Linked DNA regions of Callithrix jacchus. The protein of the gene in region 1 binds, or shares a complex with, the protein of each later gene. Links are inferred from orthologs where the notes say so. Each region holds a gene or a part of one and is shown on either strand. Other genes may lie near its edges. The genes, in order: GTF2E2 and POLR2C.

Region 1 (4,529 bases):
ATATGTATAAGTTTCTTACTCATTAATAACGGAGCCAGCAGAATCACAAAACTGATTTCTACCAGTTCTGAAAAATGAAATTTATATAATCGTCGGGGAAAGGAATGCTGAAATAAGACTGCTCAGTTGATACAAAAATGGTTTAATTTTTCTCAGAACAATGCAACCTTAATCCTTGGGATTTTTTTTTTTTAATACATACTGAATTCCCTGCCCCTTTCTCCCCTTACTCCTCATCAGTTTCCTACTAGTTCTTTGATTTTATCCTTTTGTAAATATTCTCGGCCCTAATCAATTGTGATTCAAACAAAGTTACATTTTCTGTGCATGTCAGATGATCATCAAGTAGGCTTATTACAAAATTCTCTAGAATGAAACTAATCAAAAAGATCACAAAATATTGTCTTTCAACTTTTTTCTCCAAGTTTTGAATAAAATTTTAGGTATTTTCTCATTTAATTTTCACCACAGTCCAGTGCAAGTAACTCATTGTAGTAGTACAATGATTATCCCCATTTCCCAGATGAGAAACCAAGCCACAGGTTCAGTAACTTGAGGAGTAATCAGTAACAAGTAATTAAATTAGAGCCATAGAATGGCTGAGAGCTGGCTGTACTACCACTTTAGGTTACAAGACTGAGGGAAGTTCTCCACGCTGCAGGGTTCGGGCAACGACAATTATTTTTCCAATTGCTTTATTTTCACCCATTCATCGTGCTTCTGAATCCAAAATCCTTTCCTAAGACAGTTCACAAGGGCGGAGCCTGGGCTGGGCTCCACATCAGGCTGCCTTTGCTAGTTATGCTGTCTTGAGAAAGTTGTTTATTAATTAGCTTTCTGGGCCTCTGTTCTTCGCTGTAAAAGGGCTGGAACCGCCTTCTCGGAGGGCAGGTGACGGTGGGTGGCACTGGGGTAGTCACAAAATAACCGTTGAGGCCGGGCGGGATGGCTCACGCCTGTAATCCCAGCACTTTGGGAGGACGAAGCAGGCAGATCACTTGAACTCAGGAGTTTGAGACCAGCCTGGGCAACATTGTGAGACACTATTAATACAAACAATAACAACAATAACAAATATTGCCCGTCCTTGTGGCACTCGCCTTTGATCCCAGCTACTCTGGGGGCTGAGGTGGGAAAATGCCTTGAGCCCGGGAGGCGGAGGATCATCACAAACCAAGTCTCCAAAAGGTAGCAAAAGAGAGGGAAAGTAGAAAGGTTGAAAGAGGTTAAATGGTGGCAGGAATCGTGGGCTTGGAGCCCCAGTGAGCCGAGACAGCGCCACTGCACTCCAGCCTGGGCGATCGAGTGAGATCCTGTCACTAGTAAGAAAAAGACAAAGAAATCAAAATAATCCTTGAAAGACAAGAGTCGCCGATTGGGTTCACCACAACCCAGCGCACTCCGGGGCAGGCTGTAGCAGCTTTAATTAAGCGTCCGTAAAGAAAGCCCCCTTTCCTCATCCCTGGCACCGCCTCCCATCTCAGTCCCCTCCTCGGCCCCGCCCCCAGCATTCCCTCGTTGTCATGGAGCCCACAGGACGCCCGAGCGGGCTACTTCTGCTCCCGCGGCACCCAAGACAGGGCACGCAATGACGCATGCGCGCGCTCGGCGGCCATGGCGCCGCGGTGGCTGCTGGGACTGAGCTCTTAGCACCCGATCGGGAAGTGGCGGGCGGAGTCCCGGGTCGAGTCGCCGCCTCAGCAACCACCGCCGCTGCAAGTGGCGAGACCCCGACCTGGCGGGTCCCCGCTGGGGGAGCGTGCGGGCAGGCGGGGGCGCTGACGAGGAACAGGAAGAGGCTGCCGTGCCGGCGTGGGCGGCTGGCCGAGGCGTAGGCGGAGGGAGGCGGTGGCGAGTCGCGCGGGGCTGCCCTAATCACTCAGGTAGGGGCTGCGGCCGCCGGGTGAGGGGAGCGGAGCCCCGGCCTGCTGTTCCCCGGGACCCAGGCGCGTCGCCGCTTCCCGGGGGGCCGAGCGTGACCTACACCCCACGGGAAGCTGGGGCCGCCGTTCTCGACGCGAAACACCCAACACGCGAACGGTTCCCCCAGCATTGTCTTTAGGCCGGAGGTTCATTGAGCAAACTTTTGGATTGGGAAGAGGGAAAATTCGCGGTCTGCTGACTGTGCCTTCAAGCCTCCAAGTTCACGGGCGCGGTAGCCAAGCGAACCGCGTGTGGAGTTTCGGGAGCCACGGTGTTCCAGCCAGCTCAAGGCTGTGATTTAGATTCTCATACGCGAACTGGTTTCTAGGCTACCTTTTGGAGAGTTGGTTTGTGATGATTCCTAAACTTTAACGGTAGTAATTGACTTCTGCAGTCTAAAGATGTTTTCCACACAATAAGGCTGCGGCCCCCTTTTCGCCCACCTCCCAACTGCTGTCATTTAAAGGCGAAGCAGCCCGATGTTCATAGCCGGGTGCTGAGGTGCCCTGGACACTTCTGAGGCTTGGAAAGAAGCAAAAGAGAGGGAAAGTAGAAAGGTTGAAAGAGGTCGAATGGTGGCAAGAGTCGTGGGCTTGGAACCATCAGCTTTTCGTTTAATTTATGGGTTTTCCATATCTACCCACGGAGAAACCGGTGAACATTTTGAGTTGTGGTGGTAGTTTGTTTTGTTTTAATGTAAAATGGACATAGTGATGTAGCTTGTTTACTACACAGGTGGGTCCTGAGATCTTAAACTTAGTACAAATATTGAGTAGTCTTTGAAAAAGGAGGAGAAGTTAGAGCATGTGATGGTGAAAGACATCGCGAAGCCTTCTGCTCTAGGTGCCTTTGAATGTTCCAGAACCTCGTAGGTCGCCTTTGTTTTAAAGGCCTTTACCAGCGTTCCAGGTCTGGTGTAAGGAGCATTCGACTTAAGAGTCAGGAGGTTTGGGTTCTGACCCTGGTTCTTCCATCGGTGCGACCTTTAATCAGACAGCTTCACTTTCACATTTCACGTATTAAAATAGGAATAACACTAACAACTTTTCGCTCCGAGAGTTGCAAGGGTCAAATATTGTAAGCATTTAGTTTGCTGTAAACTGTACGGGTTTATTTAAGTCTTCTAAGGTCATTTTTTAAAAGTCTGGATTAAGGTCCTGCCTTAATCAAAGGTGAAATTGGATTAAGGTGAAATAAAACACAGATTTTTTTTGTTTTAGGAATTTACAATCTGCTTGTTGCCCCCACCTTCTCAATTGATAATTCTCCTTTCTTCTTGTCCTCACGTTTTCCCTCCTCCCAAGGCTGTCTCCTATCTTCCTCAGCCCGGTAAATCATTCTCTTATTTTTTTTCAGATCCAACTCAAAATAGTAATACTAAAATAACATGTTTTTATGACTTTACTATTTAAAAAATAACGTACACATTTTCTCATTCTTAAAATTGGGTTGGATCGTGGACAGCGTTGGCAGCGTCTTCATTTTACTTGTGAAATTGAGTGTAGTGGCCTTGTGGGTTGCCTAGCCATGTGGCTCTTAGGAATTGAAATGAGGCAGGCCGTGGTGGCTCTGCCTGTAATCCTAGCACTTTGGGAGGCTGAGGTGGGTGGATCACTTGAGGTCAGCAGTTCAAGACCAGCCTGGCTAATGTGGTGAATGAGCCCCTCTCTACTAAAAATACAGAAATTAGCCAGGTATGGTGGTGCACACCTGTAGTTCAGCATCTCGGGAGGCTGAGGCAGGCAGGAGAATCGCTTGAGCCCAGGAAGCGGAGATTTCAGTGAGCTGAGATCACACCACTGCGCTCCCACCTGGGCAGCAGAGAGAGACTGTTTCAAAAAAAAAAAAAAAATTGAAATATTTATTTTTCCATGCACACTTCAGAATCATTTACAAACAAAAACTTTGTTTAAATTTTGAAAATATGTTAAATGTATGCTCCATATATTAAAATAATAACTCAAAAAAACTGAGAGAAGGCAGGTTTTTGATTCACCATCCAGTGATTCTTCACGCCTTAACTGAAATTCACTCTGATTATTCCTTACTAATGCTTATATTTTAAGTTTTTAGCTCAAGGCTTTCATTTTCTCAAATCTAAGCAGCATGCAGACTAGGATTTATCCTCCATAACCTTTCAAAGCTTAGAGCACATGCCTTGCAAACAGAAGACACTTAATAAAGGCGTGTGTAACCAGTAATCATGGGACCAGAGCAATTAAAAGATCTTGTTCCATGTGTTGTTCATTTAACAAATATTTATTGAGCTATCCTGTGCTTAAAAGCTTTCAAAGTTTGAGTCTTTTTCCTCCCAGCTGACACTAGTCTTAACAGTGTCAAATTCATTTATATAGTCAGCTTGAGGTCTTCCTAGACCCTCTGCAGGGTACTAGCAGAGTTCAAAAGAAAGGAGTGTTTAGAATTCTTGTTGGTTGACCTGTAGCTTCCTTGATTGTACTGAAATTGCTTAGGGTTGTAGTTTTAGAACCGGACAAACAGCCACAATATAGAAGTTGTTTCAGACCACCTCCAGATTGGAAATTTTCTATAGACATTTTTTTTTTTTCCCCTTCTTGAGACAGGGTTTTGCTGTGTCATCCAGGCTG
Region 2 (3,059 bases), on another chromosome or scaffold:
GGTCAGAAGTTTGAGACCAACGTGGAACATGGTGAAACCCCATCTCTATTAAAAATGCAGAAATTAGCCAGGTATGGTGGCAGGCACCTATAATCCCAGCTCCTTGGAGGCTGAGGCAGAAGAATGGCTTGAACCCAGGAGGAAGAAGTGCAGTGAGCCAAGATCGCACCATTGCACTCCAGCCTGAGGGTCAAGAGCGAGACTTGTCATAATATATATATGTGCATGCTCTATCACCTAGCAGTTCCTTTCATTAAATTTTTTTCTAGTATTTATTGAACAAAGATGGCTTGGTATCTCTCTCTCTCTCTCTTTTTCTTTCTTTCTTTCCCTCTCTTTCTCTTTCCCCCCCTCCCTCCCTCTCTCTCTCTCTCTCTCTCTCTCTCTCTCTCTCTATATATATATATATATATATCTTTATCTCTCTCTGGCTTTTTCTGAAAATCTGTAGAAACGTTTTAAAACTAGAATAATAAGTACCCTTTTACTTTTCACCTATAGTTACCAGTTATTAATATTTTACATTTGCTTTATTTTTCATATGGTTGTTATTTTTGCTGAACTGTGTGAAAGTTGCAGAGACATCCTAACACTTCAGCATGCATTTCCTAATAAGAATAGTTTCCTACGTAACCACACTTTTATTATGCCTAAGAAAGTAAGCGTCAATTTGTAATATCAATATTCATATTTTCATAGTTCCCCAAATATTCTTTATTGTTTTCCTGTTTGTTTGTGGATCAGTCTTGATCAAGATTCATTTGGTCCTTATAGCTCTTTAGTCTCTTCATCTCAAACAGACTCTTCTCCTTTCAGTGCATTTTTTTAGGTTGAGTACCTTTTCATATTTTTAATCTTCCATTACATTTTGATTCTCTCATTTCATGTTTCTTTATTTTTCTATTTTTTGAGATAAGTCTCACTCTGTCACCCAGGCTGGAGTGCAGTGGCATGATCTCGGCTCACTGCAGCCTCATCTTCTGGGCTCAAGTGATTCTCCTGCCTCAGCCTCCCGAGTAGCTGGGACTACAGGTGCTGTGCACCACCATGCCTGGCTAATTTTCTTGTACTTTTTTGTAGAGACAGGGTCTCGCCATATTTCTCAGGCTGGTCTCGAATTCTTGGTCTCAAGTGATTCTCCCACCTCAGCCTTCCGAAGTGCTGGGATTACAAGTGTGAGCCACTGTGCCCAGCTCCATTTCATATTTCTAAGAGTAATTCTGCCTCTGGGGTCTGGGTTGCCTTCCTTCCTTACCTGTGTGTGACTGCAGACATCTCAGGTGGGACCTCTAGTTGCTTCTTCTTCCTTATCAGGCAAACATCAAAAGAATGTTGGGTTTTCCTCACTAGTGTGAGGGAGAAAACAGCTTGCTTGATTGCATCCTAGTAACTCTCTTCTTGCCTGAAGTTAAACTGCAGTTGGTAGTCCCTAACATGGGTATGAGCCAGTTGTTTTAAGAATGGCAAACTTACTAATTATGGAAGGTGGTTGATGGTTATGGGATGGCAGTGTCTTACATGCTTCTCTATTTTTGTATATGTATGAAGTTTTCCATAATAGAAAGGATTTTTTTAGAAAAGGTGAGTACTCTAGAACTTGAAAGGTACTTTTTTCTGTTCCTTGTTGGTTTTATTTTAAATGGTGGTTACATTCCCAAGCTGGTCCACTTAGTTCTTGGGAAGCTGAACTATAGAGTGTGGAAGCATCCTCCTCTCCCTCATAGCCTTGCTTCTCTGAGAAAGACTACTTCAAGGGCCAGAGTGAGATGTTAGCAGTGTGTCTGCAGAGGTGGCCTGGCAGCTGGTTCCAGTAGGAAGGAAATGTGGTGCTAGTGTATGTATAAGTTGTCTCTAAACTTGGGCAGTCCGTGAGAATGGTATACCAGATTGTTATAGCCCACAAGAACCTGGAGACTGATCAATCCCTTTTTACAGGTGAAGAAACTTAAAGAACTGGGTATTAGATGCAGGGAGCCAAGGCAGGAGTCGCCATCTCCCCCATAGACTCATTTCTGCTTCTCTTCCTGCCTCAGGACTGCACATGTGAGGAGTTCTGCCCTGAGTGCTCAGTGGAGTTCACCCTCGACGTGCGGTGCAATGAAGACCAGACTCGACATGTCACATCTCGAGACCTCATCTCCAACAGCCCCCGGGTTATTCCGGTCAGTGCAGGACAGCATCCTCTTTTCCCTTGGATCTTTTTTTGTTTGTTTGTTTGTTTGTTTGAGACGGAGTTTCACTCTAGTTGCCAATGGTGTGATCTTGGCTAACCGCAACCTCCACCTCCCGGGTTCAAGCACTTCTCCTGCCTTAGCCTCCCAAATAGCTGGGATTACAGGCATGTGCCACTAGCCCAGCTAATTTTGTATTTTTAGTAGAGATGGGGTTTCTCCATGTTGGTCAGGCTGGTCTCGAACTCCTGACCTCAGGGGATCCACCTGTTCAACCTCCCAAAGTGCTAGGATTATAGGCATGAGCCACTGTGCCTGGCTTCCCTGGGATCTTTTCTCTTTCTGGCTCCAAGTGGGCCAGACTGGGATTGATCCTTATAAAATGTTGACTTTCCCTGTTACCCTCTGCCTTAATCTGATCCCTAGAAGTTCTAATTCTGGATTCTTCTTGGGCATCGTTGCATCATTAGCATTGCTGGTGCTGTGCACCCTCTATTGCCCAGAGACTCTTTTGAAGGCCATGGAATTGTTTTGCCTGAGGCTATCACCACAACATGAAGTAGGGGTTGGAGTCCTCGGGGACATCTGTGCCACCGCCTTGTTAGGTGCCCCTTCCCTCATTGACAGATTACAGTCTAGAGGTTTTGGGAGTTGGATGCCAGAGGAAGTGACTGGGGAGGTGAGCAGCTAATGAATGCCTGTTGGCCTCCCTACAGGTGACATCCCGGAACCGAGATAATGACCCCAATGACTACGTGGAGCAGGATGGTAAGCCATGGAGTGAAAGTGCAGACATCTTCTTGACCTGTCACTGTGTGGGCCAGTGGGATGCAGACACCAGGCACAGCCTCGTACTGTCTAGTCTCATCGTAAATTGGCTTTAGACCC

Evidence for each region.
Region 2: GTF2E2 (region 1) and POLR2C share a complex: the UniProt entries of both Homo sapiens proteins name them as parts of the TBP-based Pol II pre-initiation complex. The link is inferred for Callithrix jacchus from reciprocal best matches to the Homo sapiens genes GTF2E2 and POLR2C.

What each region holds. Positions count from the first base shown.
Region 1 is NC_133514.1:31,805,981-31,810,509, reverse strand, and holds the start of GTF2E2 (transcription initiation factor IIE subunit beta), read left to right. Parts: upstream 1-1,673; 5' UTR 1,674-1,883; intron 1,884-1,948; exon of another isoform or gene 1,949-2,577; intron 2,578-3,232; exon of another isoform or gene 3,233-3,252; intron 3,253-4,529. UniProt on the Homo sapiens protein: Recruits TFIIH to the initiation complex and stimulates the RNA polymerase II C-terminal domain kinase and DNA-dependent ATPase activities of TFIIH. Both TFIIH and TFIIE are required for promoter clearance by RNA polymerase.
Region 2 is NC_133521.1:15,346,381-15,349,439, forward strand, and holds part of POLR2C (DNA-directed RNA polymerase II subunit RPB3), read left to right. Parts: intron 1-2,033; coding exon 2,034-2,162; intron 2,163-2,887; coding exon 2,888-2,939; intron 2,940-3,059. UniProt on the Homo sapiens protein: Core component of RNA polymerase II (Pol II), a DNA-dependent RNA polymerase which synthesizes mRNA precursors and many functional non-coding RNAs using the four ribonucleoside triphosphates as substrates.